7 linked regions of the Oryctolagus cuniculus genome follow. The protein of the gene in region 6 interacts with the protein of the main gene of each other region in a pairwise test. Links are inferred from orthologs where the notes say so. Each region holds a gene or a part of one and is shown on either strand. Other genes may lie near its edges. The genes, in order: CCDC102B, STX11, COIL, DDX17, EMD, BYSL and CEP70.

Region 1 (3,873 bases), on a different chromosome or scaffold from region 6:
TTCAGATCAGCACAGCTTCATCCATTGTGGCCATCTGGGGAGTGAACCAAAGGAAGGAAGACCTTTCTGCCTCTGCCTCTCTGTAACTCTGCCTTTCAAATAAAATAAATCTTAAAAAAAATTTTATTGAAATTGATAATTTTCTTTATTACCTGAAATTTTGAGTACTTTTATAAGTCTTATTTTTCTTTACATTTTTCTTACTTTTAAGTACCCTGTTTCTCTTTCAAAAGGCAGAAAAGAAACCGAAAATTACAAAATAGTAATATATTCTGAGATGATGCATTCATGACTCCTGGCACTAAGGAAAACTTTTGCCTTACCTGTGAGAGCCTGGACTAACCAATTAGTAGGCACTTTTCCATTCTCTAGTCAGAAATGTCTCCTTACAAATAAGGATATTATAATTTGTCTGTGACTATCTAAAATCAGAATATAAACCTAAGGCTCACCATCTTAGGCATCAGATTCCTGTCAGGGAAGAGACATTTAGTTATGTCATTTATCTATTCTTGATTCATTACATTTTATTTGTTTGGCTATCTACTATATTAAAAAAATTTGCCATCATAGCAGCCTGATTGCTATTAATATTTTTATAATGTAAAAAGCAGTGCAAAAACCAGAGTCAAGAGTATTAATATATTTTTGTAGACATCAAAGGCTTTGTGCTACAACCACTGGAAAATGCATTTATAGTCACCTGAAATAAAATTCAAAGAGTACACACAGATGTATAGGAAAGTGAGTAGTTTAATAAACACATATGCATCTTAAATATCCCCATCTCAAGAAAATTGTGCTTGCTTGAGGAAACTCTTTAGAACAGGAAATACTATTGAAGTTCAAGGACTGAATAATTAAACCCAAATCATTTTTATTTAGTCAGATGTGGAAAAAATACATAGTTAATTCTTAGGCAAGATCTCAATGTACCAGAATCCAATTATAGAGTCTTCTGAATACTGGTGGAATAAAAGTTAATGAGACATTTTAAATACATTACAATTTTATGATACTGATTTATTTTTGGAAAGTAGCAAGGATAAATTTAAATTTAATATGCTGTATTAAGTTCTCTGTATTCATTTTGGAATTCCAACAGTAAAAAATCATTACATACTGAATAGTGAACAGACTGACAGATGGATGGATAGATAGTATGTGTGTTTGTTATTTCTAGTTAAGATCACCTTTTATTCTTTTATATATCAGTCTTGCCTTAGTAATAAAACAAAGTTGGTAATTTATATTATCATTGTCCTCCAAATTACAGTAAATGGAAGAACAAAATTACTCATGTACCAAGGCTAACGAATATAATCACATCACGAGTCTGTTATTATAAGTGTTACAATAGTGAATTGATTTTACATCTCAAATTTGTTTAAAATGTTTTTTCAAAATAAAAATTTAATATTAACTTTCTGAAGTCTTTTAATTATGTGCTCATGAATCATAGTTTTAAAAACATTGTATAGTCTTTTATTCCAATAAATCAGGCTTATTATTATATACGTAGTTGATACAGTAGAACCATTCAGTTAGTTGTATAAGTAGATAGGTCCTAAGGAGGAAGTTATGATCTGTAATTACAAAAAAGAAAATAAAGTGAGAGGAATTTATGGCATGTGCATAAAATATTATCTAAGCTTTTTTTTAGATTAGAAAACTGTTTCTGGAAATAAAAATGAGTAAACCACAGGAATTTACTAATTTGTAAATTAACCCGTGTCTTTTAAGGAGTTACTTTAAAAGTTATGCTTGTTATGGTCTCAATATAGTTGTAGTGCTCTATTGAATAAAATAACAGGCATGCAAATTGATAATGATATGCATTCATATATTTGTGCTTTGGTATTTATAATGAAAGCTGATTTTAATTTCTCTACAAGGCTTTGAAAAAGCTAAGACTGCTCAGTGTTATCTCTATGGTGAAGGTGCCGCGTTTCTAGATGGCCCATTTCACCTTTAGCAGTACTCCTTAGATCACCCCAACATACCCTAAGATACCCTAAGAATCTGAGAATGACTTTAAATACATAAAGAGATTCAGTAAATATACCTTTTATAGTGTAAACTATGGATTTTTAAACTTGTGTATGCTTTATCTACTAAAGTTTTTGAGGACAAGGATCATGCCTCATTTATAACAACTTATTTTTGCAGTTCATAAGATTTTAACCATGTAGGAAATTAATTTGAGAATCAGATGTGGCTTTGACTATAAGTAACGGAAAACCTAACCATTGTGGCTCTAATAAATATGGATAACCCCTTTCACATGCTTCCACATGGCATAGACACCACGCGAGAGCTAGCTTGTTATGACTGCTTTCATCTTGATGTTCCAACTTAAGATTTATTTATAAGATAAATAAATTAGAATCAGCGTTAGAGAGAGCGAGTCTCCAATCACTGGTTCACTTCCCAAATGGCCACAATGGCCTGAGCTGGGCAGAGCCAAGGCCAGGAGCCAGGAGCTTCTTCAGGGTCTCCCACATGGGTGCAGGAGCCCAAGCACTTGGGCCATCTTTTGCTGCTTTTCCAGTGTGCATTAGCAAGGAGCTGGATCCGAAGCCAGGACTTGAGCCGGCACCCCTAGGGGAGGCTGGCACTGCAGGCAGGGGCTTACATGATACACTGCAGTGCTGGCCCCTTTTCTACCATTTTAAATATTATTAAATAGTTATGACAATCACCTTCTCCCAGAGCCATGTCCTTGTTTAGGCAGGAAAAAGAAATTGAGGAAAGAGGGTTTTTCATTCTAATGTTCTCCCAAGTAAACCTTGCCTTTCTTTAGCCTGATCCAGATCATGCATTTGTTTTGAGATTATCATATAGTTGTTGACATGGAGTCCATCAAGCAAAGTGTAGATTATTCATGATTTAGCCTCTGGGAATGGGATTCTCCTAGATGCCCTTAGAGTTTGCATTCTACCTGAACAAATCTGAGATTAGTTGCAGAGGAAAATGGGACTGTTGTACAGTTAACTGGTAATAAATGCTATAATTTTGTTTTGTAAGAAGAAATGTTACAAAAGATATAACTCGAATAGAATTTGATATTTTCTCAATTGCATCTTTATATAGTTATTTGTTCAGCAAAATTTAATATGAGAGATTGATTTTTTTTGTTAATTTGCTATTAGAGGAATAGATTCTTCTAAATCTTTAGTTACAACAGAAAAAAAAATATGCACAATTGAAAGATGCATTGTTTACATCAGATTTTTTTTTATTTTAATGTATTTCAATGCTCTTACAATTGTAAGGAAAATTCAAACGTGTAATTTTGTCCTCTGTTTTATCCTAGGCCTTAAACATAAACATGAATTTAGAGTCTATTCATCGACTAATTGAGGAAACACAAATCTTTCGGATGCAGCAGTCATCGATTCAATCCCGCTGTGACCCGTCAGCCCCTGCCTCGCCCCCCAGGGACACGTGGACGCCCTGCCCGCCTCTCCAGGGGCTGCAGCCTCAGGCCCCCCACCGTTTCTGCGCGCATCCACTGCACCCCAACGAGTGGGACGTGTGCGCGGAACTGCGCCTGCGGGAGCTGGAGGAAGTCAAGGCCAGGGCTGCCCAGATGGAGAAGACCATGCGCTGGTGGTCAGACTGCACGGCCACCTGGAGAGAGAAATGGAGCAAGGTTCGCGCGGAGCGGAACAGCGCCAGGGAGGAAGGACGGCAGCTCAGAATGAGACTGGAGCTGACGGTGAAGGAGCTGAGCGAGCTGCGGAAGAGACAGGGCGCGGCCCCTCAGAAGCAGCCCCCGGCCGCCCCCGCTCCCCTCGCTCCTCTGGCGTCCCGGGAACACGGAGATGAACCTGAAGTCGCTTCCCAAACGTGTGAGCGTGTGGGGGAGCG
Region 2 (4,407 bases), about 100 Mb from region 6:
GCTTTACTCCAATACTACCGTCACACCTATGTAAGGACCATTGGGCTAAGGACAGACCCCATATACCACAGTCGCTGTACAACAGACCGGCTGAATAGGAGACTGCTTCATGGGTTTGTGTAAGTATCCTTTGATTTTTGCACAAACAGCACATCAACTATTAAGGCAATTCTCAGAAATGTGCCATCTTTAAATGATGTTTGTTAATTTCTTGCTCAAACCATTCAAGCTTTGGCCTTTGGTTGCTTCTCTTTTTTTTTTTACATTCTCCCATCTTTGTGGGAGTTTGGTTTGTTTGTGTCTCTCTTTCTTTCCCTCCCTTCCTCCGTCCCTCCCTTCCTTCCTTTCTTCCTTTCCCCTCCCTCCCTCCCTCCCTTCCTTTCTTCCTTCCTTCCTTCCATTTATTTGAGAGGGGGAGGAAGAGAGAGAGAGAGAGAGCACGCGAGCGAGCGCACTAGCTTCCATCTGCTGGTTCACTCTCCAAATGGCTGCACTGGCCAGAGCTGGGCCGGTCTGAAGTCAGGAGCCCAGAGCTTCACCTGGGTCTCCCACGTAGGTGCAGGAACTCAAGGACTTGTGCCATCTTCAGCTGCTTTCCCAGGTGCCTTAGCAGGGAGCTGGATAGGAAGTGGAGCAGCTGGAGCACCAACCAGTATCCATATGGGATGCCGGTGCTGCAGGCAGCTAACCCGCTGTGCCACAGCGCTGGCCCTTATTTATTGTGTGTGTGTGTGTGTGTGTTTAATGAACACTATTCTTACCTTTAAGTCTCAGCCTCGGTCTTCAAGGCTCTTCCCACCGCCTTCCACAATACATACGCACTGTATCTGCTTCCCTATTCCCACAAAGACGTCAGAGGCTTGGCAATATTTTGGCCATGGTCGTGTCTCTGGCTCCTCAGTGAATGAATGAACTCAAACTGGCGTTGGCAAAGGTTTGAAGGGTGCCGGTCGGCGTGGGTTCTGGAAAGCCAGTGCCCAGCCATCGTGTGACCTGCAGCCTCGTCTCAGCCGTCCTCTGGCGGCCACACCCACGCTCAGAATTCGCTTCAAGCGTCCTCGCCACGGAAACGCACCCTGCTGCAAATGTCACCAGAGCCGCGGGGTTTCCCCGGGAAAGTCCGGCGCTTCCCGCAGGGGCCCAGAGGAAGGCGGGGGACAGATGATGGCTTCGGGTGGCCAATTACCCCGACCTCACGGGAGCGCCCGGCGGCGCACCGCAGGCGCGCGCGAGCCCCAGGTTCCGGGCAGCCCGGAGCGCACCGGCAGCGGGCGGGGCGGGAACCTGCGCGCGGGCAGCTGGTGGACGCGGCGCCTCCGCGCTGTCGTCCCGGGGCGGGGCCTCGATCCCAGCCGTGGGCTCTTGCGAAGTGTCGGGGGCCGAGCCGGCGGCGCCCAGATGCGGCCTCGGCGGCTCGGAGTTCGGGAGGCGGCGGCTGAGCCCAGCCTCTGGCGCGGGAGGAGCGGAGGCTGTGGGAGGCGGCGAGAGCTGAGCCGCGGAGAGGCGCGCAACAGGTTTTCTCTGCGTCCTGGCGCCCAGCGCGAAGCCGGCGCTCGGGTAAGAGAGCGGCTTCTCAGCTCGCACGGTCGCCCCGGGTCCAGGTTCGTTCCTTCCTGCCTGGGTCTCCTTTTCTGTCCCGAACGCGGGGAGCTGGGAGTGTGGGCCCAAGGAGGGCGGGAGGGGACGCTCACTTGCCCGGCGACAGGATGCTGGGCCCAGGTTTTCGGGTTTGGCCCTGGTCCACCCCTCGCTTCCTGGCCCTTAGGGACGCCACACTGGGTTTCTCGTACGGAGCGCAATGGCTTGTTGTTGGTTCTTATTTATTTCGTTTTTCCAAGGCGAGGGACTGAGGATTTAGTGGGCATTGTTCTCAGAGACACCTGTTGTCTGCCTTCTGCAAGGATCCACCCACCCCACTTTTGTGAAAGTGGGGGCATTACTTCGGCCTGATAAAACGGCTCACTTCCTAGTGGGGTGCACTTTCTCAAAAACAGAATGAGGACCTCTTGACTTGAACTTGACAGCGTGACTCAGGAGCCAGGAAATGCGGACCAAATGATAGCGCTGAGGCGGTTCCTGGCAAGCGCTCGCGACTTTCTCAGAGCACGCAGGCAGAGGCTGCCCCGGAGTGAATTCGCTGGCTGGCGGCGCCCAGAGGACCCTCACCAGGAGCCGCGCTTCTCCCCGCGCTGCGCAGGCCGGCCCGTGCAGAAGCCGTTTCTCAGCAAAGGGAGGAGTTGTTATTTCTACACGGGTCTCCAAAAATGAGTCACAGGGCTGCTCTGTTAATTGTGAGACTTCCTTAAGTAACTTTTGAAACGTGAGGTTTGCTCCGTCTGTCTTTAAAATAACAATACAGATGTGAAATGTATGCACAGCCAAACTGGGGCAGGCGGTTGTCCCAAGTGACAATTCCAGTTTTCAGTTTCCTAGAGCTCCCGTCTGGGCCACACATCAGCCAGGGTCATTTGGGCTGCTCTAAGATAGCCATGGAGATCGCGTGCTTTACCGTAGACGCCCAAGAAAAGGATTTTTTATTTTTTAATTTCAGAGGAAGAGGAAGGGAGTGGGGAGAAAGAGAGGGAGAGAGGGGAGAGAGAGAGGGAAGGGGGGGGGAGAGAGAGAGAGAGCGTGAGAGTGAGAGAGCGCACTTCCATCTGCTGGTTCACTCCCCAGACACCCACAATGGTTTGGGCTGGGTCAAAGCCAGAGGAACTCAATCCAGGACTCCCACGGTGGTGGCAGGAACACAATTACTTTAATCTGCCAGCTGCTTTGGCAGAAACGCAGGAGTCAGGAGCAGGAGCTGGGAATCGAACCCAGGCACTGGAATGTGGTACACAGGTGTCTTAATCTTCTAGGCTAAATGCCCACTGCCACAAGAAAGTGAATTTCATTATTCAATAACTGTCTTTCTACTTTCACTTTATGGCACAAATGCTCGTTTAACAAAATATCATTTAACAAAATGATTATAAATCCCTCTCTGAGATGAAAGTATTTCAGACAGTTAGTTTGCCTTTCCTGAAGCAGTGCTAAAACCACACACAAAATGCCATGCCAGTTGGAGGTGAGAAATTAGAAAGGTTAAGCTGACAGGTCCCACTGCAACTGAGCAGCAGATGTAGGAAGTGGCTGTGCACTAATCCAGCACACAGGAGAGAAGAGAAACAGCTAGCCCCAACCAGAGAGTTACCAAGCACCTTCTCTGTGCTAGCTCCTCCCTGAGCTCTGGTTATACAGCCGTGGAAGGACAGGATCCTTAGAGATGCATGGAAGGCCAACAAATACAGTGGAAAATCCAATATAATGAGGTGAGCGCCATGATCTATCTATGCCCAGCACAGTCTCTGTCCCAACCTGAGTGTTATTTCCTCAGATCTGTGATTTGGAATAGACTGGGTCATTGCTGGGGGAACAAAGAGGGTTTTAAGTTTAGCCATCTAATTGTAGAGAGCTTATTCTTCATTTCATAACAGATTTAATATATATTAATTAGAGAGGCATGATTTCAAGTTGTTTGAATTAACCATATTTCCTATTACTATTATTAAGATTATTTATTTGAGAGACAGAGTTACAGACAGAGAGAGACAGAGAGAAAGGTCTTCCACCTGCTGGTTCACTTCACAAATGGCCGCAACAGCTGCAGCTGGGCCGATCCAAAGCCAAGAGCCAGGAGCTTCCTCCAGATCTGCCATATGGGCGTGGGGGCCCAAGCACTTGGGCCATCTTCCACTGCTTTCCCAGGCCTTTTTTTTTTTTTTTTTTTTGACAGGCAGAGTGGACAGTGAGAGAGAGAGACAGAGAGAAAGGTCTTCCTTTTGCCGTCGGTTCGCCCTCCAATCGCCGCCGCGGCCGGCGCACCGCGCTGATCCAAAGGCAGGAGCCAGGTGCTTATCCTGGTCTCCCATGTGGGTGCAGGGCCCAAGCACTTGGGCCATCCTCCACTGCACTCCTGGGCCACAGCAGAGAGCTGGCCTTCCAGGCCATAATCATAGAACTGGATCAGAAGAGGAGCAGCCAGAATGTGAACCGGCACCCACAAGGGATGCCAGTGCTGCAGGTGAAGGCTTAGCCCACTATGTCACAGAACTGGCCTCCGTATTTCCTGTTATTTAATAACCAGGTAAAAATAAGCCCAGATTATTATCACCACTGGATGATCACAGACACTTTTAGTTATATATCTTTTGAAAACAGAGTGAATAATTAATGAACTATAACTGCTTTTTTTTTTTTTTTTTTTTTTTTTTTTTTTTTTTTTGACAGGCAGAGTGGACAGTGAGAGAGAGAGACAGAGAGAAAGGTCTTCCTTTGCTGTTGGTTCACCCTTCAGTGGCCGCCGCAGCCGGCGCGCTGCGGCCGGCGCACCGCGCTGATCCGATGGCAGGAGCCAGGAGCCAG
Region 3 (4,406 bases), on a different chromosome or scaffold from region 6:
TACAGCTTATGGACTACATTGGCTCCCCCCCCCCCATGACTTCCCTCCCACCCGCAACCCTCCCCTTTCCCGCTCTCTCTCCCCTTCCATTCATATCAAGATTCATTTTCAATTTCAATCTTATAATACAGAAGATCAGTTTAGTATACATTAAGTAAAGATTTCAACAGTTTGCACCCACATAGAAACACAAAGTGAAATATACTGTTAACTCTTTGCTTTTTGACAATATTGAACAAAAAACTGATTTTTTGGTTGCTGGTGTACTGAAAACATTTTTTAAAAATAAATATGTGATTTCATTACGTAAACTGTAAGGAACTGACATTGTCAGAACCTCAGTCTTTCCATTCTGATTTTATTTACATGAGCAAGTTTCCTGAGGATGTTACATCTATAAAAACAGACCCACAATTAATATGGAGCCCTGTTTAGTGATATTCATCCTTACATACTTGGACTAACGGAAAATCCCTCACAGCTTTGCCTTTGATACTTTCATTGTTCTTTTCCTACATAATAGTGATGCATAATTACATGTAATGTTTGAAGCTATTTAGATCAATTATGTATCAGTAATAATAGCATAATTTAATACAAAAGACATAGAGCTTTAGGAAAAAAACTTGAAAAACTGTTTTTTTTTCAGTGCATCTTCTGAGTGTCCGAAACCTGCACCTACTCACCTACTACTTTGGGGAAGTTACTTATCCTCTCTGAACCTTGGTTTGTTATGTATTCTGAATGACGATAATAGTTCATACCTTTGACATGACAATTAAAGGGTTAACATGTATATATTTTGTAGGAAAAATGGATATTAAAGGAATAATGTAAAATTTTGCACTTACCTACCTACAGGTAAATAAAAGGACTTATTTTTGCATTTTAAAATATGGATGGTGGTGGACATCAAACAGCTAGAGTACTTTTTTCACTGGATACATTTAGAAGAGAGATGTCAATGTCGACGACACGCTAGAAATGACATCTTTCTCAACTCCTTGGGATGAAAGATTGGGTCAACTAGTATTGGGAGTTGCCACCTTTTTTTTTTTTTTGCCATCTTTTTTTAAAGAATCTTTGACGTACTTTAGACCGCCACTGGTGCCAAGTGCTTGTTCATCCAGCGACTTGCCTAGATTCGGGCCCTCCATTTATCTGATAAGAAAGGAATAAAAGCATTTATTTCTTTTGTACTCTTCCCTAGCCCTGTCCTGAACAAAACTCTTTATCAACCGCGCTCCTGCAGTAGCCACTTGCTGCCGAAAGGTGGCACTCGGCAGCGGCTCCAGGGGGCGGGGGCCGCCTGAGCACGGGAGCTTTGTGGTGTCTCTCGGCTTCCGTTGAGGACGGCAAGATGGCAGCTTCCGACACGGTTAGGTTACGGCTTCAATTTGATTATCCACCGCCAGCCACTCCACACTGTACAGCCTTCTGGCTTCTGGTCGACTTGAACCGATGCCGAGTCGTCACGGATCTCATCAGTCTCATCCGCCAGCGCTTCGGCTTCAGTTCGGGGGCCCTCCTGGGCCTCTACTTGGAGGGGGGGCTCCTGCCCCCAGCCGAGAGCGCGCGCCTGGTGCGGGACAACGACTGCCTCAGGTGCGCGTGGGCGGCGGGCCGGGGACGCGCCTGCGCTGCCCGGGCGCCTCCGGCCGCGGGGCCGCACGGGTCGGCGGCGGGGGGCGGGGGCGTGGGCTTGGCGGGGCGCGGGCCCCGAGGGCCGGAGCGGTGTGGTCGAGGAGGGGCTCAGGAGCCTGCGTTTTGACGAGCGCCCTGCAAGCCTGGGATGCTCCCCAGCGCAGGTGGACGGGACGCGGGACAACCCTGCTGTGCGCCTGCCGGCCGGCCGGGAGTTCGCGCAGCCTTGCTGTCCAAGCCCTCGCTCAGCCTGGCGCCGTGGTCGTGCGCACGGTGCCAGGGACCGGCCTTCCCTCGGCCGCGGGCAGGGGCAGGGGCAGGGTTCGGGGCAGGACGCCAGGCAGACCGGAGCTGGCGTGTTTTCTTCAACCGTGTGCCTTGTCCGGCGTTAGCTCTGTGATAGCCCCGGGGGCATTCGGTGTCTCGCCCAGGCGTTTTGGGGTCCACTCACATAGATAGGTGTTTGGGTCCTTTTGGGTTCAAGTAGGTGGATTTGAGAAAGGCAGAGTCATTCCAGGTGTGCTTTTGGAAATGTAGAGAAGATGGCGCTGAGATGACTGTCCCAGAGCAGTAGGAGCTGCTGGCGAGGTGTGGAGATGCGGTCATTCCAGCTCAGATGCGTGTCTTGGACTGATTGTTTCAGGGCTTATTATTTTTTTTCCTCTTTAAACTTATTTATTTTATTTACTTGAAAGACAGATCTCCCATCTACTGGTTCACTCCCCAGACAGCCACAATAGCCAGGGCTTGGCCAAGCCAATGCCGGGACCCAGAAATGCAATCCAGGTCTCCCATGTGTGTGGCAGGAGTCCAACAACTTGAGCCATCACCTGCTGCTTCCCAGGGTAAACACTGTAAGAAGCTGGAACGAGAATGGGGCTGGGACTGGAACCCAGGTAGTCTGATGTGGGATGTGGGCATCCCAACCAGCATCTTAACTGCTGTGCCAAACACCCACTCCTGTTTCTCTTTTCTTATGAAAATTATTTATTTGAGAGCCAGAGAGGGAGCGAGCAAGCTCACCATCCACTATTTCTTTTTCTTTTTTTTTTCTTTTTCTTTTTGACAGGCAGAGTGGACAGTGAGAGAGAGAGACAGGGAGAAAGGTCTTCCTTTGCCGTTGGTTCACCCTCCAATGGCTGCCGCGGCCGGTGCGTGCGGCCGGCGCACCGCGCTGATCTGATGGCAGGAGCCAGGTGCTTCTCCTGGTCTCCCATGGGGTGCAGGGCCCAAGCACTTGGGCCATCCTCCACTGCCCTCCCGGGCCACAGCAGAGAGCTGGCCTGGAAGAGGGGCAACCAGGACAGAATCCGGCGCCCCGACCGGGACTAGAACCCAGTGGTGCCAGCGCCAAGATGGAGGATTAGCCTAGTGAGCCGCGGCGCCGGCCTCCCATCCACTGTTTCATTCCCTAAATGTCCACAACAGCCAGGCCTAGGGCAGGGCAGAAGCTGTGGGTTGGAGTACGATTTAGGTCACCTACATGAGTGGCAGGGGCCCATTCAGTCACCTGAGCTATCACACTGCCTCCCACAATCTGCAGGAATTAGCAGGAGGCTGAAATAAGGAGGGGGCTGGGACTAGAGCCCAGGCACTGCAGGGTGGGATGTGGGCTCTCAAGCACTAGACGGGATACACACTCCCTCTTCCCCTGTAAGCTTCAGCTTATGGTGAATTAACTCCAGAGTGGTGAACCCGCCCACTTCTTTTGGCTTGCCCCTTCCCCAGAATATCGTTGACTATTCCTTTTCCTACCTAGAGCACGTCGTAGTCACAGGATTTCTTCCGAACACTAGGGAATTCAGTTTGGAACATGACCGCCTCTTTGGCTCTCTCTCAGATCAAGAATGCTGTGATTTAATGATGTTCCACTGTTTCAAATGACAGCTTGAAAAAGCCTAAAATTCAGAGTTCTTTATCCTATTTATTGTCTGTGAAATGGGTCTTTATTCCCTCTGCAATTTAGGGAGTATTTAAATATTACAGTTGTAAGGACTGTCCCCTCCTAGAGGGTGTACTTTCTAAACTCTCCTCTGCCCAATGATTAATAACTTGCTGCCAGCTACCCATGGCTGTACTGCAGTTGATGAGTCATCTGGGAAATAATATTCTTTATAATGAAGTTAGCAGTGTCAGAAACCTCATGAAAACTGTTACACGTAAATTTCCCCTGAGTGTGTCAGCTCATGGCAAGACATGCCTTTTGCAGCTGGCTTCAGTGGTAAATGGGTAAAGCTTGGGAAAATCCTGAAAAATATTGGATTGTTTCTTGCCTCCAATCATCCAGCCTTCCCTTGACCGATTGACCTTTTGTTCATAGCTACCAAAGAAAACGTAGTCTCTGCTGTGGTTGGATGTGGTTGTGTGTACCCCCAAATCAGCATATTGAAAGCGTAGTCCCAAGTGTGGCAGTATTGGAAGGTTGAGATCTTTAAAACATGGGACCTGTGGTAGCTGGTAGGTCACCGACGGTACTGCCCTCAAAAGGATGAAGAGAATTCTCTTGGGACCCTAAGTTAATTCTCCTGAGAGTGAGCGTCATAAAAGAGTGAGTGTGACCCCGACCGCTCTGGTTTCCTTTCTCTCCGTGTGATCTTTTCCACTTGTGCAGTCTCCTGCTGTGGTGCCTGCTGCCAGAGTCCAGCTAACGCTGGTGCTCACCAGGCCCTCGTGAGGTGCAGCAAATGCTAAATGCTAGTGCTGTGTCCTTCCTTGAACATTCAAAACTGTGAGCTAAATAAATTTTCTTTTTTGAGAGTGAG
Region 4 (3,873 bases), on a different chromosome or scaffold from region 6:
CAAGGACTTGGGCCATCTTCCACTGCCTCCCCAGGCCATAGCAGAGAGCAGGATTGGAAGTGGAGCAGCTGGGTCCTGAACCGGTGGCCATATGAGTTACACAGCGAGAGGCAAAGACATCTTCCATCTGCTGGTTCACTCCTCAGTTGGTCACAATGGCCAGGGCTGCACCAGGCTGAAGCCAGGAGTTTATTATGGGTCTCCTACGTGGGTGCAGGGGCCCAAGCCCTTGGGCTACCTTCCCCTGCTTTTCCCAGGCCATTTTTAGCAGGGGGCTGGATCAGAAGTGGAGCAGCTGGGATCTGAAGTGGTCCCTATGTGGAATGCTTGCATTGCAGGCAGTGGCTTTACCTGCATGCTGTGTCCCAGTGCTGGCCCCAAGAAACAATTTTTTAAAATAACAATGATAAGCTTCAAATAAGCCTTCAAAGAAAACGTATGTGGTAACAGCAGTGGAGTCACACCCGAGATCCGTGTGAGAGCAGGCTGGCGGTCTCTGCAGACTGTTTCTTGAGCACTTTACAGTGTTTGCTGCTTTACAGGTGTGGGCGACAGAGCCACTCCAGGTGGCCTTTGGTCTGTGTAACATTGAGCCTTACACCTGAGTGCGTATTCAAAATGTCACTGATAGGTGTCTCCCTGTGCTTTCAGTTTTCTTTGCATTCCTAGTCTCTTCTGGATAAGCAGTTCAGTCAGCGGCATTAGCCCAGTTCCTGCCTGTGGGTGTGACTATGCAGTGAACCCGGGGCACTCACGTGTAGAGAAACGTCTGGCTGACTGTTCTGACTCTTGAAACACCACTCACTGTCTTGGGACCAGCCCTGCCTGCTGTCTGAGCCGAGGGTTCTGATGCTTTCAGTTGTAGAGAGCTGAGGGCCCTTAGAGGAGTGCAGCTACTGCCTGTCCGCTGCAAAGTGGAACTTTGTGCAGGTGAGTTAGGGTGGGAAAGGGAAATTCAGTTCAGTGAGGTGATTGACAAGGAGTGAGGAAATGGGATGAAGAAACACTTTATACAATTTGTGTGCCAAACACAGCCCCAAACTTTGCGTAGGTTGAAATAGGGGAAATGAAGGCCATCTTACTGTTAGGATTTTTCTAGGGAAAGTAGCTTGTATTTTCTATTTCATTTTCGGTGGGTGGCCATATTTGTATTCCAGTTGAGCTTACCTGCTACAAAACACAAAAGGGGCCAGTACTGTGTGATGGGTTAAGACGCCACCACCATGCTGGAATCTGGAATTACGTGAGTGCTGGTTGGAGTCCTGGCTACTCTTGCTTCCAGTCGTCCTCCCTGCTGATGCCTGCATGGGCCCCTGCCAGCCAAGTGAACAGTCTGGGTGGAGTTGCAGTCCTAGCCCTTGTAGCATCTGTGGAGTGGAGTAGGAGAGGGAAGTTTGTCTTGTCTCTTCCCCTCTCTAACTCTGCCTTGCACAAAAATGAGTCAATTTTTAACCACAAATTCATTTTAAAGCATTTTTAATTTTTTTTTTTTTTTTGAAAGGAAGAGGTCTTGTATCTATTGATATATTCCTATGTGCCTGCAACACCCAGGGCTGGGCCAGGCCAAAGCCAGGAACCTGGAATTCTACCCACTTTGGGTAGTGGAGACCCAAGTACTTTAGATATCACCTGCTGCCTCGCAGGGCGCATGCTAGCAGGAAGCTGGATCAGGAGTGGGGCTGGGATTGAGCCCAGGCACTCTGTCTTGAAGGCCCACTCCAAGAAATGGATTTTAATAATCTGTTTGCTTTTAAAACCTTAAGTAACTTACTAATAGCTTTTTCTTCATATGAGTTCTATTTGAGAGCAAAAGTAAAAGGTGGAAAGAGGAGGAAGAAAAGGTCATACATCTTAGTTGTGGGTCTTTGAGTAGCGTAAACGAGGTGAAGACCAGCCCAGCAGTCCGTCACAGGTCCCAGTGGTCTTCCTGCCCAGGTGAGCAGACAGTAGCGGGGCTCGTCACAGGGGAGAGATCCAAGAAGCTGCTCCGAGTGTGGGCTCCACCTACATTGGCATTTTCCCGCTGTCCACAGCCTGGCTGTTGATTTAAGCTCGGTATTTCCCTGCATGTCTGTTACGCGGGAGTAGAGACTTAAGTCTGTTTCATTCACAGTGTCTTTAGCACTACTTAAAACAGTGTTTGGTGTACAGTTGGTACCCAGTACCGCTTGTTGCTAACCTGTACTGTATTTATTGTCAGATTCTATTTTAAGCACTGAAGAGTAATAAAACAGTCTGGGAGACTGCTGGTGTATACTGGGAGTCCACCTTTGTGTGTGTGTGCGCCATGTAAGGTACAATAATATTAATTGATTTAAAATGCTGATTCTAGGTTTGGAGCAAGAGGTGGTGGTGGCCTTCCCCTGAAGAAATTTGGTAATCCTGGGGAGCGTTTACGTAAGAAGAAATGGGATTTGAGTGAGCTTCCCAAGTTTGAGAAGAATTTTTATGTGGAACATCCAGAAGTAGCAAGGCTGACTCCAGTACGTTTGTTTGTTTTTATCTTTTTATGTGCAGTATGAGCAAGAGTTTGGTTGTGTACTGCTGTTGCCCTGAGGTTTTCTCTGGGGGGTGAGAAGTCCCTTGGGCTCTTCGGAAGCCCTCTGATGCTCCTGAGAGGCAGACACCCCGTGGGCGGGTTTCTCGTGCTGAGTGCTCTCTGACCTATTTACCATACATGGTTTTAACGGTCTTGTAGATTGGGCGATGTCTTTTCATCTATGAAGTGTAATAATTTTAAAACAACATTGTATAGTCTTTTTAACCTCATTATGATTGCTTTCCATTCTATCCATAAAATGGTTACTTGTTCAGAAGAAAGTGTATTGAAAACTTGGGCCTGAACTTCCTTGTTATATTTTTTCCTCTCTTCCTAGTTCTGACCTTGGGTGGGTGAATAACTTTTTTTTTTAAAGATTTTATTTATTTATTTGAGAGGTAGAGTTATAGACAGTGAGATGGAGAGACAGAGAGAAAGACCTTCCATCCTCTGGTTCATTCCCCAAATGGCTGCAACAATTGGAGCTGAGCCCGTCTGGAGCCAGGAGTGTCTTGCAGGTCTCCCACGTGAGTGCAGGCAGGGGCCCAAGCATTTGGGGCCAACCTCTGCTACTTCACTAGGCACAGCAGAGAGCTGGATCAGAAGAGGAGCAGCCCGGACTGGAACCAGCACCCATATGGGATGCTAGGGCCGCAGGCGGAGACGTGACCCACTACGCTACAGCTCCAGCGCCATGACTGACTCTCTTGAGTTTGTTTTCTCCTGTGGAAATAGAACCCTTAATCACCTACATTGTTAATTAACTCACAAAGTTGAATATATATAAAACCAGTAGTGAATACAGGGCCTGCAATTGAGTGGTGGATCAAGCCCAGCTGATCCAGTTCTCTGCTAGTGCGCCTGGGAAAGCATAAGATGGTCCACGTGCTTGGGCCATTGCAACCACGTGGGAGACCTGGCCGAAGCTCCTCTGTTTTTGGCTTGGCTGTTGTGGCCTTTTGGGGAGTGAACCAGTGCATGGAAGATAGATCTCTCTTGCTCTTGCTCTCACTCTCTGTGTGTCTATGTTGATATATAGAACTCTGCCCTTCAAATAATTTTTATTTTTTTTCTTTTTTCTCAAATAATTTTTATAAAGATATTGCGTATATTTGCCACTGTGACTGTGGATTGGGTGTTGATTTTCCAGCTGACAGGAATGTAAGTTTTAAGTATTTGGAATAACTTGTTTACTAATTTGTCTTCATTTACTTCCATAGTATGAGGTTGATGAGCTACGCCGGAAGAAAGAGATCACAGTGAGAGGGGGAGATGTTTGTCCTAAACCTGTGTTTGCCTTCCATCATGCCAACTTCCCACGTGAGTGTTCTTCA
Region 5 (4,634 bases), on a different chromosome or scaffold from region 6:
AAACTAAAAACTCCAGGAGGCAGCTTCATAGCTGCAAATAGTTCAAACTGTCATCTCTCCTGCCTTTTCCTGCCATGCACACTGTCTTTGGGAATGCACACAACTTCTCCCACATTGCTAGGAACAGACTGGGCCAGGTCTTTATTCTAGAATCTGGCAAACGGAAACCCCTCTTCCTTAGGGTTTTTGTCTACGGTCAAAGGGCCTCGTCTCTTCCACATTCTTCCCTGGTCTGTCTGTCCCCATTCTGTGTGAGCAATCTTCCTCAGAGAACTGGCCTGTGACCATCACCAGTTTGGGCCCTTCAGCCTGGAGCTGATCAGAGCCCTCGCACTTTCTTGTCACCAGCTAACATCTGTGAGGCCAGGACGGCACCTCATCTCTTCATGCACCCACTTCTGTCACTTCCTTTCGACTCCCCAAGGGGACAGCCCTCTTCTGATTAAGACCCTTGCCAACCCAGCCACAGTACAGGAACCTGAGCAAGCCTTGGCAGTCTCTCACGGCTCACCAGGCTCCTCTGCCCCTGCCCGGCCCCCTCCTGGTCACTGGGCTCAGGGCCATTCCGACTGGAGCCCCCTTCCCTTCCACCCAGTACCCCGGGTTGACAGTAGGGTGGGCTGGGAGGGCACACTCCCTCTCCGAAGCGCGCTCTGCCCGTGCCCGCTGGAACGGCCCGCCGGGCCCCTTCGAAGGCTGTTTGCTCCAGGAGTGCCCGCGTCCTCCTGGCCCAGTGCCCCATTTCCTCCCGGGTGGAGGGCGGGAGGAGCAAGGGAAGGAGGGAGGGAGGCGATGGGAACCGATGGGCGCAGGTGCGCAGGCGAGGGCCGGTGCAGGTCAGCGAGGCCGGCCTGGGCCAGGGGGTCCGCGTAGCGCACCCAAAGCGTAGACAGCAGTGGCTGGCCCGAGAGCGGCGCTGTGCAAAGGGTGGCTCCTTCCCGCTGCTGCGGGAGAACCCTCGGCCTGGGATCCCGGGAAAAGGGGGACGACGAGTGCAGGCGCAGGGATGTGGCAAGAGTCAACCGGCCCGAACCACCGCAAAGACACCCACGCCGCCGGCTCCCTAGCTCCCACGTTCTGGCCGGTTTCTACCGGTTCGGGTCGCATAGGCTCCGCCCCTCCCGCGAGTCTAGCTCAGAAGCGCCTGCGTGTGACGTCTTGGCGTGCCCGTCCAGCCCCTTTTCTCGAGCGTGCAGCCCCGCCCACTCCCACGGCCTGAGTAGTCTGAGCCACTTTGGCTCCCACACAGGCCCCGCCCCTCTTCCGCCACAAACCAATCTCGCACGTTTTTGAAATACGAGCTCGCCAGGCCCGCCCCGCCCGCTCCCACAGCTAGACCGGTCCGTGCCGGCTCCTCCTTGTGGTTTGGCTCCGCCCCGCGCAGCGCGCGCAGCCTGCGGAGCCCGCGGCCATGACGGGAGCGTGACGCAGACGTGACGCAAGCGCGGCCGCTCCCGAGCCCTGCGAGGCAGTGGTGTTGCTTGGCCTGTGTCGCCAGGCCCGGGCTGCCCCCAGCCCTTCGCCACCTGCCGGCCGCGCCCGCGATGGACGACTACGCGGTCCTGTCGGACACCGAGCTGGCCGCCGTGCTGCGCCAGTACAACATTCCGCACGGGCCAGTCGTGGGTACGCGGGAGCGGGCGGGACGCCTCCCGGGACTCGCTCTCCCGCGCGCCGTCTCGCAGCCCCCCGGTACCCCCCGCCTGCGTCCCCTACCCAGATTCCCTCCCTGGGCTCGCAGCCCACGACCCTGACCGCCCCGCGCCCGCTGTCTGGTCAGGCTCCACTCGCAAGCTCTACGAAAAGAAAATCTTCGAGTACGAGACCCAGAGGCGGAGGCTCTCCCCACCCAACTCGTCTGCTTCCTCGTTCTCCTATCGGTTCTCGGGTGAGCAGCTGGCTGCCGGTGGTGACAGGGAGGGTGGGATTTCGAGGGTGTGGCGTGGGGGGTGGGTTGCTAGCCGAGAGAGGCACTGCGAAGAAGGGAGGGAAGCCTGGGGGAAAATGGTCTCGTCCCCCCCCTCAATTCAGACTTGGATTCGGCATCTGTGGACTCGGATAAGTACGACCTGCCCAAGAAAGAGGACGCCTTACTTTACCAGAGCAAGGGTAAGGCAAGGAATTGACACCCTTAACACCATCACCCCAACACCTTCACCCACCCTGTCCCGGACCGTGGGCGTAGGGAAAACCTGAGGCCTCGACTCCCCACCAGCCTCAGCGACCTGAGAGGGGCCCCAAAAACGCTGTTTAAATAAGGGTCCCTGGAGCAGCTGGGGAACACGGGTCTGCCCTCTGCTACCAGTGCTCCCTTTTTCAAGGCTATAATGATGACTACTACGAGGAGAGTTACTTGAGCACCAGGACTTACGGGGAGCCCGAGTCTGTGGGCACATCCAAAGGCTTCCGGCAACCCGGGACTTCGCTTTCTGATGCTGACACCTCCCACCACCAGGTGAGCTGCCGTCGGGCACCTCATATCCGGGGGCAGCTTGAAGGGATGACAGCTGGGTTTGGGTAAATCCCAGCATCACTGGGTACAAATGCTAGCTCCTAGGTTTCCAGAGAGAGTTAGGATGAGTTAGGACTTTGCTACGGGGCGTGTCAAGAGTATTTGACTAGAGCACACAGGATGTGGCCTGCACCCTGGTCAGGATCTGAAGTTCCAACTCAGAATCCAGGGGGAGAAAAGAGGGTTCTGGGGTCAGTGCTGTGGCACAGCAGGTTAAGCTACCGCCTGCAGTGCCAGCATCCCATGTGCATCCAGGTTGGAGTCCTGGCTGCTCCACTTCTGATCCAGCTCCCTGCTACTGTGCCTGGGAAAGCAGTGGGGGATGGTGTGAGTACTTGGGCTCCTGCCACTCCCATGGGAGACCTGGATGGAATTCCAGGCTCCTGGCTTCAGCCTGGCTCAGCCCTGGCCATTGTGGCCATTTGGGGAGTTAACCAACAGGTGGAAGATCTCTCCCTCTCTAACTCTGCCTTTCAAATAAATAAGTAGAATCTTAAAAAAAAAAATGTTTATTTTCATCTGCTTGAAACCAGAGCAACAGGAAGACAAAAAGAGAAAGTGAGGTCTTCCATCCCCTGGTTAATGTCCTAAATGCCCAGGATGGGGGCCATGGCAAAGCCAGGAGCCCAGAACTCCATCTAGGTTTTCCACAGGGGTAGCAGGGGACCAGAAGCAAACCAGCCAAAACTTGAACTGGCACTCCGTATGGGATATGGGCACCCTAACTGGCAACCAAACCTGCCACGCCACAATGCCTGCCCTGTCTGGCCTTTAAGCAATGGTTAGAGTGGGCTGAGTAATACGACAGGCTGTGCTGACCCTGCTGGCCAGTCCCGTCACCTCGATTCTGGTCTGCAGGTGCGCAGTGACCATCTTTTCTCTTCTGAAGAGGAGGACAAGGACAGGTGAGTAGTGGGAAGGCCCTGGGAGCAGTGATTCTGGGCCTAGCTCTCCTGGCTCACCTGCTCCCCTCTTTTGCATTAGGGAACGCTCCACATATGGCCGTGACAGTGCCTACCAGAGCATCGCACACTACCGCCCTGTTTCCAACGTCTCCAGGAGTTCCTTGGGCCTGTCCTATTACCCTGCATCCTCCTCTTCTGTGGCCTCTTCGCCTTCTCCATCATGGCTCGCCCGCCGTGCCATCCGACCAGAAAAGCAGGCCCCTGCAGCTGGTCTGGGTCAGGACCGCCAGGTCCCACTCTGGGGCCAGCTGCTGCTTTTCCTGGTCTTTGCTGCCTTCCTGCTCTTTGTTTACTATTCCTTGCAGGCAGAGGAAGGCAACCCCTTCTGGATGGATCCCTGAGGGTCTTGATTTCAGAGCCAGCTCTTTGAAGTCCTGGCTGTCTGCCTTAGTGCAGTGTGTGCTGGGGGTGGGGGTGGGGGCTTTTCTGTGTGTTCTAGCTTTGGGGGCTGGGCCTAGCCCTGAGCAGTGCTTGCTCCCCCTGCCTGCTCCCACCAGGGAGGCAGCAGACTCGGGCCCTTCACGTTCTGGTAGGCCTGGGCGTGCCTTCCTCTGGAGCCTCCTGGCCCTGCTTGCCTCTGACCCTTAGGGCCTGGGAGGGCAAGACTTCACTCCTTCAGAGATGTTGTCATGTGCTCATGCATGCCTCCTGTTCGTTGTCACCTTTTTGAGGTTAACCAAGGGCCACCTCGACTTTGTTTTCGTGGACGCAATAAAGACCGTTTATTTTTAATGTGTTGGCTCTTCCTGCTGGGGGAGAGGCTGGCTGCCATGCTTTGGGGTCTCTGGGTCTTAAGGTTTTTTAAGGATTGTCACCTGGCTTTATTGATTCTGTGGTTTTGCTTTGGTCTTGGCATAGGAATCAAATGCTACCGCTGACTAGGTTCATGTGTTGTTTGGGGGTTTATTCCCTGACTCCCCAAAGCACTGGTAACTACTTAAGAAAAGAACTGTGATAACAGCAAGGGGTCTGGAGAACCCACCTGGAAATGCAGGTGAGGCTGCAGGCACAGTGTGGTTTGCAAGCGCTCCCATCAGGAAAGGTTGAAACGAACTTCAGCTTCCAAGGGCATTAGGATAGAACGTAAACAAGCCATCTTGGTGGTGGGTCTGGAAGGTCGTTCCTCAGCTCACCTTCCAACCTTTCAGCTCTTGTTA
Region 6 (4,578 bases):
ATATGGGTGCCGGTTCGAGTCTTGGCTCCTCCTCTTCCAATCCAGCTCTCTGCTATGGCCTGGGAAAGCAACAGAAGATGGCCCAAGCGCTTCGGATTGGCGCAGCTCCAGCCATTGGGGCCATCTGGGGAGTGAACGAGCAGATGGAAGACCTTTCTGTCTCTCCCTCTCACTGTCTGTAACTCTACCTCTCAAATCTTTCAAAAAAGAGAAAAAAAAGAGAAGCCTATAACTCCTGGCTTCAGATATCCTGGCCTCCAGGCCTCTCTGATGAGATGCTCACAACCAAGACTTAAAAAAAAAAAAAAAAAGAAGAAGAAGAAAAAAGGTGCAGAGACCCAGCACCTTGGAACTAAGGTCTCCAAGATCCCTGGGTTCATACCCTTCCCCTCCACCCCATCCTCTTCCATCTGGGTTTGAGAACATGTTCAGAGATTTAAAAGTCCATTGGGGGCCAGTGCTGTGGCGTGGAGGGTAAAGCAGCTGCTTGTAGAGCTGGCATCCCATGTGGGTGCCGATTTGAGAGCCGGCTGCTCCACTTCCGATCCAGCTCTCTGTCATGGCCTGGGAAAGCAGTAGAAGATGGCCCAGGTGCTTGGGCCCCTGCACCCCCATGGGAGACCTGGAAGAAGCTACAGGCTCCTGATCGGCCCAGCTCCGGCTATTGCAGCCATTTGGGGAGAGAACCAGCAGATGGAAGCTCTCTCTCTGCCCCTGCCTTTCTTTAACTCTGCCTTTCAAATAAATAAATCTTTTTTTTTTTTAAGTGCACTGAAACTGAATCAACCGTATAAACGTAGTAGGAGGCAGGTCATGAGGAAGTAAAGTGTCTGGAAACCTGATCTTCTAATTCCCAGTAGTTTCCATTTTGATCCTGTAGACCCGAATGAGAACCAGATACAGGCTGATTATTGGGTGGCTACAGGTAGGGGGAGGCGAACACACAAACACCGCCTCGTTGCCTATCTCCTATCAGCTTTAACCCTACCTGCGGGTGGGTTCTAGTCTGAAAAGCCCTGTTTCCGACCTCGAAGTCCCACTTTCTGCACTACTAGGATTTCAAGGGTAGCAAGACGTACCAAGAAAAAGAGAAGAGGGTACACAACCCATGCATAAGGTTCCTGAGATAAAACCTTTTCCTTGCTTCCTTCCAGGAGCAATGGGGCCCATTAGGGCCCGAGACTCACGGCCCTTAGAGTGCCCACATCCACGCAGCCCGAGGGCATTTTGCTCAGCTCCCGGAGAACGGCGGACTTCAGTCCCCGACCCTCCAGGTTTCAAGGGACCTTCACGACCCAAGTCCCGCCCCATAAAACCCTTTGTGATCCTACCAGGTCACTCCCATAGCGTCAGGCCTGGAAAGCGGCACGACCACACAGCCGAAACAGCGCTCTCCCGAAGCCCACAAGAACTAAAAACTACCGCAGGCTCGGGTCGCGGGAGGGGCTCCGGAAGTACGTAAAAACAGAGCGCCGGTTAGACGCACCAGCAGCGACTCTGGGTGACGCCTCCAGTGAGGTCATCGGCCCGATTCCCAGCCCCTCCCCTGGCTTGCAGTTCCGGAAGTTTCCGTTTGGTTGGCCACCCTGGTCCTAGATCCAGAAAGCTAGGAAAGCGTGGCCCGGGCTGCCACCATTTAGAGACGTCAACGTCAAAGGCAATGCATTTGTTCCGGGCTCCGGCTCCAGGACTCGGGAGTTCCCTGCGGGAGTGCAGTGGTGCTGGCTGCTTTTCTGGCCTCCGAACGCGTAGGGGCGCTGTGAGCGCGTGGCCTCTCGGCACAGACCTGGGCGTTCATTGCCGAGCGCACATCCTGGGCTGTCGCCGTACCCACGTGTGAGTTTGCCGGGCCGCATTATCGAGAAAAATGCCGAAATTCAAAGCGGCCCGTGGGGCTGGGGCTCAGGAAAAACACGCGCCCCTGGCCGAGCAGATCCTGGCTGGGAACGCGGTGCGGTCAAGTGCCCGGGAAAAGCGGCGGGGCCGCGGAACCGGGGAAGAGGAGGAAGAGTATGTGGGGCCCCGGCTGAGCCGGCGGATTTTGCAGCAAGCACGGCAGCAACAGGAGGAGCTGGAAACCGAGCACGGCTCTGGGGACGGGCCCGCCAAGCCTCGGGAGCGCGCCACGCGGCTGGGTGAGCGTCCGCGGGGAAGGCAGTAGTTGGGTTGGGGGGTGGACGGCCCACAGGTGTCCGGCAGGGGAGTACCTTGGATTCAAAACCGGGTTGCACGTTGCTCTCTACCGAGAGCAGGGCAGGTGGAAGACCGAACCCTGCAGGCCCGCTCCCTGTTTTTAGTGCTCCTTTCGCCGCGTCCCGCAAGTTAGGCCAATAGGAAGTGATGGCTCAGGCCACCAAGTTCTCCTAGCATTTGTCCAACGGTTTTGTAAATATGGGATGCTCGCTACCGGCTTTGCACGATGCTGGGAGTTTTGATGGATTGCGTGCAGAAATAAACAAGATATAGCTCGGGACCTTACAGTCTAAACCAAGAGAGAGACAATTAGAACAGTAAATTCCATGGGAAAGAAAGTCTCGTTTCTCTGGAAACGATAGCATTCGTGTAGGGGTCAGAGTTGCCCAGCCTGGAAGCTGAGACCTGAAACCGAATGTTCATAACAGAAAAAGCAGTATTGTTTAGGGGCCAAGTGGAGGGAGAGATGATTGAAAAATGTTGACTGTTTTCTCATAGGGGAGAAGCCTTGACCTCTGAGTTGTTTAACCGACTTCTCAGAGCTTATCTTATTTGTAGAAAAGCAGTATTTGACGCAATTGAACCCTGCTCTTCTGGCTACAGTATCTTTATCTGAAAGGCAGAGAGAGAAAACTTGCTTCCCCTAATCTACTTCCCAAACGCCTGCTGCCTGCTACGGCCAGGGCTGGGCCAGACCAAACCTGGAACTCAGTGTAGTTCTTCCGGGTGGGTTGCAGGGACACAATGACTTGAGCTCCCTCCTGTTGTCTCTCAGGGTCTATATTAGTGGGAAGCCTGAATCTGCAGTGGAACCAGGACTCGAACCCTGGCATTCAGTTATGGGATGTGGGTTTCCTAAGCTGTTTCTTTCTTTTTTTTCTTTTTTTAAGATTTATTTATTTACTTGAAAGGAAGAGACACAGAGATCTTTTATCCACTAGTTCACTCCCCAAATGGTCACAATGACTGAGCTGGGCCGGGCCAAATCCGGAGCTCCATCTGGGTCTCCTTGGCTTTTGCAGGCATTTGAAACTTCCTGTTCAAGTTTCATGATTTAACTACCATCTATTTAGTGAGTGTTACCTACTTTTTATTCCAGCCCTGATCTCTTCCAAGAAACTCAAAATTTTTTTATCTATTTATTTGAAATCTTGTATCCACTGGTTCATTCCCCAGATGGCGGCAACCAGCAAGGCTTCATCCCGGTCTCCCCTGTGGGTGCCGGGGCCCAAGCACTTGGGCCATCTTCTGCTGCTTTCCCCAGGCAATTAGCAGGGAACTGGGTCAGAAGTAGAGCAGCTGGGACTTGAACTGGCTTCATATGGGATGCTGGTGTCATAGGCAGCAGCTTCCTTCACCTGCTACACCACAACACCAGCCCCTGAAGCCCAAATTCTTATATTCAGCTGCTATTGGGCATCTCTCATTTGACATGTAAAAGACATCTCAAACTTACCATGTCCAAAACAAACTCTGACTCCCACACCTGGTCCTCCCCTGTCCTTGGTCTCCCTCCCCCTCCCTTTCTTTTCCCCCTCCTGTCTCCATGTCTTATTCATTAGGAAGTTCTGATGACCACCTCCGCCACCTTAGAAACGCCATCATGTCCAAGCCGCCATGTTCTGCGCTCGGGTTATTGTGGTACCCTCCTAACCACGATCCTGTTGCCCCTACAGCTACAGGGTTCTAATAGTGCACAGTGCCCTGTGTGATCTACCTCTATTACCGTCTGACCGCCGGCTTCTTTCCCTTTGTCCTCTACTCCACCATACAAATCTCATTGTTCCTTCTAAACATGGGCAGTTGGAGCCTGTGCCTGGCTGTTCCTTCTCCTGGATTAGTCTACTCCATTGCCTGCAGGCTTGCAGTTTATCTATTTGAAAGGCAGAGTCACAGAGAGGCAGAGAGAGGTCCCATTTGCTGGTTCACTCCCTGGGTGGTCACAACAGCCAGAACTTAGCAGATCCAAAGCCAGGAGCCGGCAGCTTCCTCCTGGTCTCCCACACTGGTACAGGGGCCCAAGGGCCTGGGCCATCTTCTAATCTTGTATTGCTTTCCCAGGCCACAGCAGAGAGCTGGATCAGAAGTGGAGCAGCTGGGACTCGAACCGGCACCCATATGGATGCCGGCACTGCAGGCAGTGGCCTCACCCACCACAGTGCTGGACCCCTCTGTACTTCTGACTTCTCTACTCTGTGTTTTGTCTTAGTACTTCTCTTCTTTTAATCCAATATATTTATATATTACGTCTATTTTTTATGTTTTTCTCCTCCAGTTAGAATGTAAGCTCTGTGAGGTCAACAATTTCTGTTTCTCTTGTTCACTGCTAACCTTCCAGCACTCTTACCAGTGCCTCACATGTAGCAGACACTCGATGTTCGCTGA
Region 7 (3,873 bases), on a different chromosome or scaffold from region 6:
ATATATGCAAATATAAGTATATATAAATATATAATATGTACTATATATTATAAATATATATAAATACAAAATGTGAATTTTATATAATTTATTAATTTATATAATTTATATAAATATACAATGTGAATTTTTATATGATTTATTAATATAAAGTAGTTTGTAGTTTTTCTGAGCAGGGCTTTGCTAAAGGATGCAGTTATAATTTCAGTGAACCAGATTTAAGATTTTTGTTTGCTTTAGGTTGCCATTAAGTCCTCCGTATCATTAGTCTGTACACTGCAGTAGTTTGTGCTTATTTGCATATTTCTAGTCAGTGGCTAAGCTTGTTACAAGTGGTAAATGTTCTAATCTTATGCATATAAACTCATTTAATAAAACCTTTTGGTGAACAACCTCTGTTACCTGGAAATACAGGAATTTATATATATTGGGGATTTCTTCACTCTAAGTTGATTCTTTTGTCTTTACTCAAAATTGTAGCAGGAAGAAGCAGAATGGGAGAACATAAATATGCTGTTGATGAAGCATGGCTTAAAACCATTGTGCCTGGTCAAGAGAAAAGATCTTAAAGGTACTTGGATCCTATTTCTGCTCCTTAAGGGGAAAAGGTTCTTTTTACTTTTGAAATTTCTTATCTTAAAAATGTCTTACCCACTTCTGTTTTTACTATCTGTTATGTTTCAAAATGTAGAGTTCATCATTTTTGACAAGCAGTCATCACAAAGGATGAGACAGAATTTGAAAACGTTGGTAGAAGAAACAGCACGTCAACAGAGCATGATACAGGAGCTTATAGAAACTAATCAGCAGCTTAAGTAAGAATGGAAAAATTCTTTTGACTTGTTGATATGCATTCTAAAAATAACTGTCTTGCAAAGAACCTTAAAATTTAGTTTTCGATTTTGAATATGAAGTTTAAAGCTATTTTTATAGGTAAATAGTTAACATTTTAATAGAAAAACCTGTGGTAATAGCTTGGCATAGATACGTAATGGAACGCTATATTTCTTTTTCTGTGAGAAGATAGAAATTTCAAGAATGCAGAAAGTTTTGGAAAGTGAATGTGTTAATATGTTATGTGGTTTGATTTACTTTTAAATACTAAAGGAGAGAATTGTGTGTATTAAATTAGAAATGAACTTCAGCTAGAACAGAGCCGCGCAGCACATCAGGAACAACGTGCCAATGACTTGGAACAAATTATGGAGAGTGTGAAATCCAAAGTTGGTGAATTGGAGGATGAATCCCTAAATAGGGTTTGCCAGCAGCAGAATAAAATAAAAGATCTTGAAAAGGAGCAGAAAACTTTACAGGTACCAAGTTACATATTTTCTTAGATGTTGGTTAGTACTAGAGCAAATCATCCTGATCCTTGGGTCGCTTGCTGAATTCAGTGGTACTTGTGATAGAAGGAAATCTTTGTGGTAACCAATTGGGAAAGATAAAAGTGCCCCTGGAACATAATCATTTCACAGCCTAAGGCACATTCTTCTAATTTTGATATACAGTTATTGCCAAATTTAGAACAGGTTAGTGCTGCCTGTTTGCCAGTTGGGAAATGAAACATTGATTATCTCAGTGGCAAAGAAGTCAAGGAAATTGATAAATATTTGGGGTATATTGAGACTGTTGGCGAAAATAATTTACATAACATGGGCTGTTATGTATATGCAGCCTTTTTTCATTTAGCCTCATTATTTTGAGATTCATTCGTTTGGCTCTGTGTCAACTGCTTAGTCCTTTTTGCTCAGAAGTATTTCATCCTATGGATCTACTATAGTTCATCTACCTGTTGATGAATATTTGAGTTGTTCTCAGTTGATGGTTATCACAAATAGAGCTCTTGTAAACAGCTATTGTTCAAGTATTTGGGTAGACATGAGCTTTCATTTCTCTTGGGTGGATAGGTAGAACTGGAACCACTTAATCATATGTTAATTTTAAAAATTCAGGTGTTTTTTTTTTTTTTTTTTTTTTTTTTTTTTTTTTCAGATTTTTGTTTTCTGAGGGACAGAGTCAGAAATATACAGATTTTCTATCTGCTGGTTTATCTCCCCACATGCCTTCAATAGCCAGGGCTGGGCCACGCCAAAGCCAGGAGCCTGGAATTCAACACAAGTCTCCCTCATGGGTGGCAGGGATCCAGCTACCAGAACCGTCACCAGTGCCTCCTAGAGTATGTGTCCGTAGGAAGCTAGAATCAGGATCAGGGACTCAAATGCAGGCATCCCAAGAGGCATCTTAGCCGCTGCCACAAATGCCCACCCTGTATGTTATTTTATTAAAGACATTGCCAAAGCTTTCCAAAGTGGCTGTACCATTTAGCGTTACTTCCTGAGTACGAGAGTTCTAGTTAATTTTTTTTTTAATTTGGTATGGGACACCTTCATTTTGATGAGTGTTTTCACTAGGTATAGAGTTTTAAGTTGGTAGTTACTTTGAGCATTTGAAATGATCAGATTCCATTGTTTCTACTGAGAATTCTGTTGTCAATTAGTTAACTCTTTGAAGGCAATCTGCTTTCTCTCTGGCTGCTTTTAGTATTTTCTCCTTGTTTTTATTTTGAAGTAGTTTTACTTTGTGCATAGGTGATTTTTGTTTTGACTTATCTTCCTTGGACTTTGTAGCACTTCTCGAATTGGTGGCTTGATGTCTTTCATCAGTTTGGCAAATTCTTAACCATTATGTCTTGATGTTATTTCTGCCCATTCTTCTCAGGACTCCAATTCTGTTGGCATTTATCATATATTCTCCTATGTCTTTCATGGTTTTCTTTGTTGATCTTTTATCTTGCTTATTTGTTATGGATATTTTCATAATTATTATATTTTTTAGTTTTAGAATTTCTGTTCTTTCACTGAATTTTCTGTTTTTCTGTTTTGTGTAAGTAAACATTGAATCTATTTTAAAATATATGTATTATATATAAAATATATATCTGATACAGAAATAGAGATGGTGGTTGCAAGCATCGTGAATGTACTAGACTCCATTGAATTGTTCCCTGCAAAATGGTTAATTTTACTTTATGTGAACTCACTTCCATTTAAATAATTCTGTCTGATAATTTGATTATCTGGTTCTCCTTGGATCCATTTTTATAGTCTATTGTTTCTTTAGGTTTCTATTCTGGTGTGCCTGGTTATTTTTTATTAAGTGCTGAACTCTGTATGGGCACAATTGTTTTTATTTTTGATAGGTAGAGTGGACAGAGAGAGAGACAGAGAGAGAAAGGTCTTCCTTTGCCGTTGGTTCACCCTCCAATGGCCGCCGCTGCAGCCGGCGCACCGCGCTGATCCGATGGCAGGAGCCAGGATCCAGGTGCTTTTTCCTGGTCTCCCATGGGGTGCAGGGCCCAAGCACCTGGGCCATCCTCCACTGCACTCCCTGGCCATAGCAGAGGGCTGGCCTGGAAGAGGGGCAACCGGGACAGAATCCGGCGCCCCGACCGGGACTAGAACCCGGTGTGCCGGCGCCGCAAGGTGGAGGATTAGCCTATTGAGCCACGGCGCCGGCTCTGTATGGGCACAATTGTAACCATGAGGCCTAGACCCTAAAGATAACCATATGTGCTTGTGGTAGACATCCAGGTACAGGAGTAACCTGGGGTCATCTTGATCTGGTGTCAGATGAAGATTTGAAGCTGAGCTTCAGTCTCAAAGATAGCTGATCAATTTCTAGTTCACTTTCACTCTTAGGGTGTAGTGGGAGGTTTCCCAGGGTCTTTATTTGGTGTCTAATTTGTGTTTCCATAGTCTTGCCAGACTAAAACAGGCACGGGCACACAAAGCAAGAATAGAATAAAAATGTTAATTTTCTTAGCTTCTGTGATATTGCTTCAGGTATCTGAAAACACCCATGGGGAAATATAAC

Evidence for each region.
Region 1: the proteins of BYSL (region 6) and CCDC102B interact in binary tests that used the Homo sapiens proteins (3 or more experiments, as listed by UniProt). The two-hybrid records come from large-scale screens. The link is inferred for Oryctolagus cuniculus from reciprocal best matches to the Homo sapiens genes BYSL and CCDC102B.
Region 2: the proteins of BYSL (region 6) and STX11 interact in binary tests that used the Homo sapiens proteins (3 or more experiments, as listed by UniProt). The two-hybrid records come from large-scale screens. The link is inferred for Oryctolagus cuniculus from reciprocal best matches to the Homo sapiens genes BYSL and STX11.
Region 3: the proteins of BYSL (region 6) and COIL interact in binary tests that used the Homo sapiens proteins (3 or more experiments, as listed by UniProt). The link is inferred for Oryctolagus cuniculus from reciprocal best matches to the Homo sapiens genes BYSL and COIL.
Region 4: the proteins of BYSL (region 6) and DDX17 interact in binary tests that used the Homo sapiens proteins (3 or more experiments, as listed by UniProt). The two-hybrid records come from large-scale screens. The link is inferred for Oryctolagus cuniculus from reciprocal best matches to the Homo sapiens genes BYSL and DDX17.
Region 5: the proteins of BYSL (region 6) and EMD interact in binary tests that used the Homo sapiens proteins (3 or more experiments, as listed by UniProt). The two-hybrid records come from large-scale screens. The link is inferred for Oryctolagus cuniculus from reciprocal best matches to the Homo sapiens genes BYSL and EMD.
Region 7: the proteins of BYSL (region 6) and CEP70 interact in binary tests that used the Homo sapiens proteins (3 or more experiments, as listed by UniProt). The link is inferred for Oryctolagus cuniculus from reciprocal best matches to the Homo sapiens genes BYSL and CEP70.

The regions. Positions count from the first base shown.
Region 1 is NC_091441.1:9,987,625-9,991,497, reverse strand, and holds part of CCDC102B (coiled-coil domain-containing protein 102B), read left to right. Parts: intron 1-3,316; coding exon 3,317-3,873. UniProt on the Homo sapiens protein: During interphase, forms fibers at the proximal ends of centrioles to maintain centrosome cohesion. During mitosis, dissociates from the centrosome following phosphorylation to allow centrosome separation. Contributes to CROCC/rootletin filament formation.
Region 2 is NC_091436.1:24,387,839-24,392,245, reverse strand, and holds the start of STX11 (syntaxin-11), read left to right. Parts: upstream 1-1,417; 5' UTR 1,418-1,557; exon of another isoform or gene 1,558-1,601; intron 1,602-4,407. UniProt on the Homo sapiens protein: SNARE that acts to regulate protein transport between late endosomes and the trans-Golgi network.
Region 3 is NC_091448.1:32,546,624-32,551,029, reverse strand, and holds the start of COIL (coilin), read left to right. Parts: upstream 1-1,290; 5' UTR 1,291-1,360; coding exon 1,361-1,605; intron 1,606-4,406. UniProt on the Homo sapiens protein: Component of nuclear coiled bodies, also known as Cajal bodies or CBs, which are involved in the modification and assembly of nucleoplasmic snRNPs.
Region 4 is NC_091442.1:115,141,245-115,145,117, reverse strand, and holds part of DDX17 (probable ATP-dependent RNA helicase DDX17), read left to right. Parts: intron 1-2,332; coding exon 2,333-2,483; intron 2,484-3,759; coding exon 3,760-3,859; intron 3,860-3,873. UniProt on the Homo sapiens protein: As an RNA helicase, unwinds RNA and alters RNA structures through ATP binding and hydrolysis.
Region 5 is NC_091453.1:132,603,960-132,608,593, forward strand, and holds EMD (emerin), read left to right. Parts: upstream 1-1,544; coding exon 1,545-1,626; intron 1,627-1,780; coding exon 1,781-1,888; intron 1,889-2,031; coding exon 2,032-2,109; intron 2,110-2,321; coding exon 2,322-2,455; intron 2,456-3,370; coding exon 3,371-3,417; intron 3,418-3,496; coding exon 3,497-3,818; downstream 3,819-4,634. UniProt on the Homo sapiens protein: Stabilizes and promotes the formation of a nuclear actin cortical network. Stimulates actin polymerization in vitro by binding and stabilizing the pointed end of growing filaments. Inhibits beta-catenin activity by preventing its accumulation in the nucleus.
Region 6 is NC_091436.1:127,986,765-127,991,342, reverse strand, and holds the start of BYSL (bystin), read left to right. Parts: upstream 1-1,529; 5' UTR 1,530-1,867; coding exon 1,868-2,135; intron 2,136-4,578. Other genes in the region: MED20 (mediator of RNA polymerase II transcription subunit 20), read right to left, coding at 1,332-1,345. UniProt on the Homo sapiens protein: Required for processing of 20S pre-rRNA precursor and biogenesis of 40S ribosomal subunits. May be required for trophinin-dependent regulation of cell adhesion during implantation of human embryos.
Region 7 is NC_091435.1:143,208,221-143,212,093, forward strand, and holds part of CEP70 (centrosomal protein of 70 kDa), read left to right. Parts: intron 1-480; coding exon 481-571; intron 572-691; coding exon 692-815; intron 816-1,132; coding exon 1,133-1,313; intron 1,314-1,992; exon of another isoform or gene 1,993-2,059; coding exon of another isoform or gene 2,060-2,176; intron 2,177-3,873.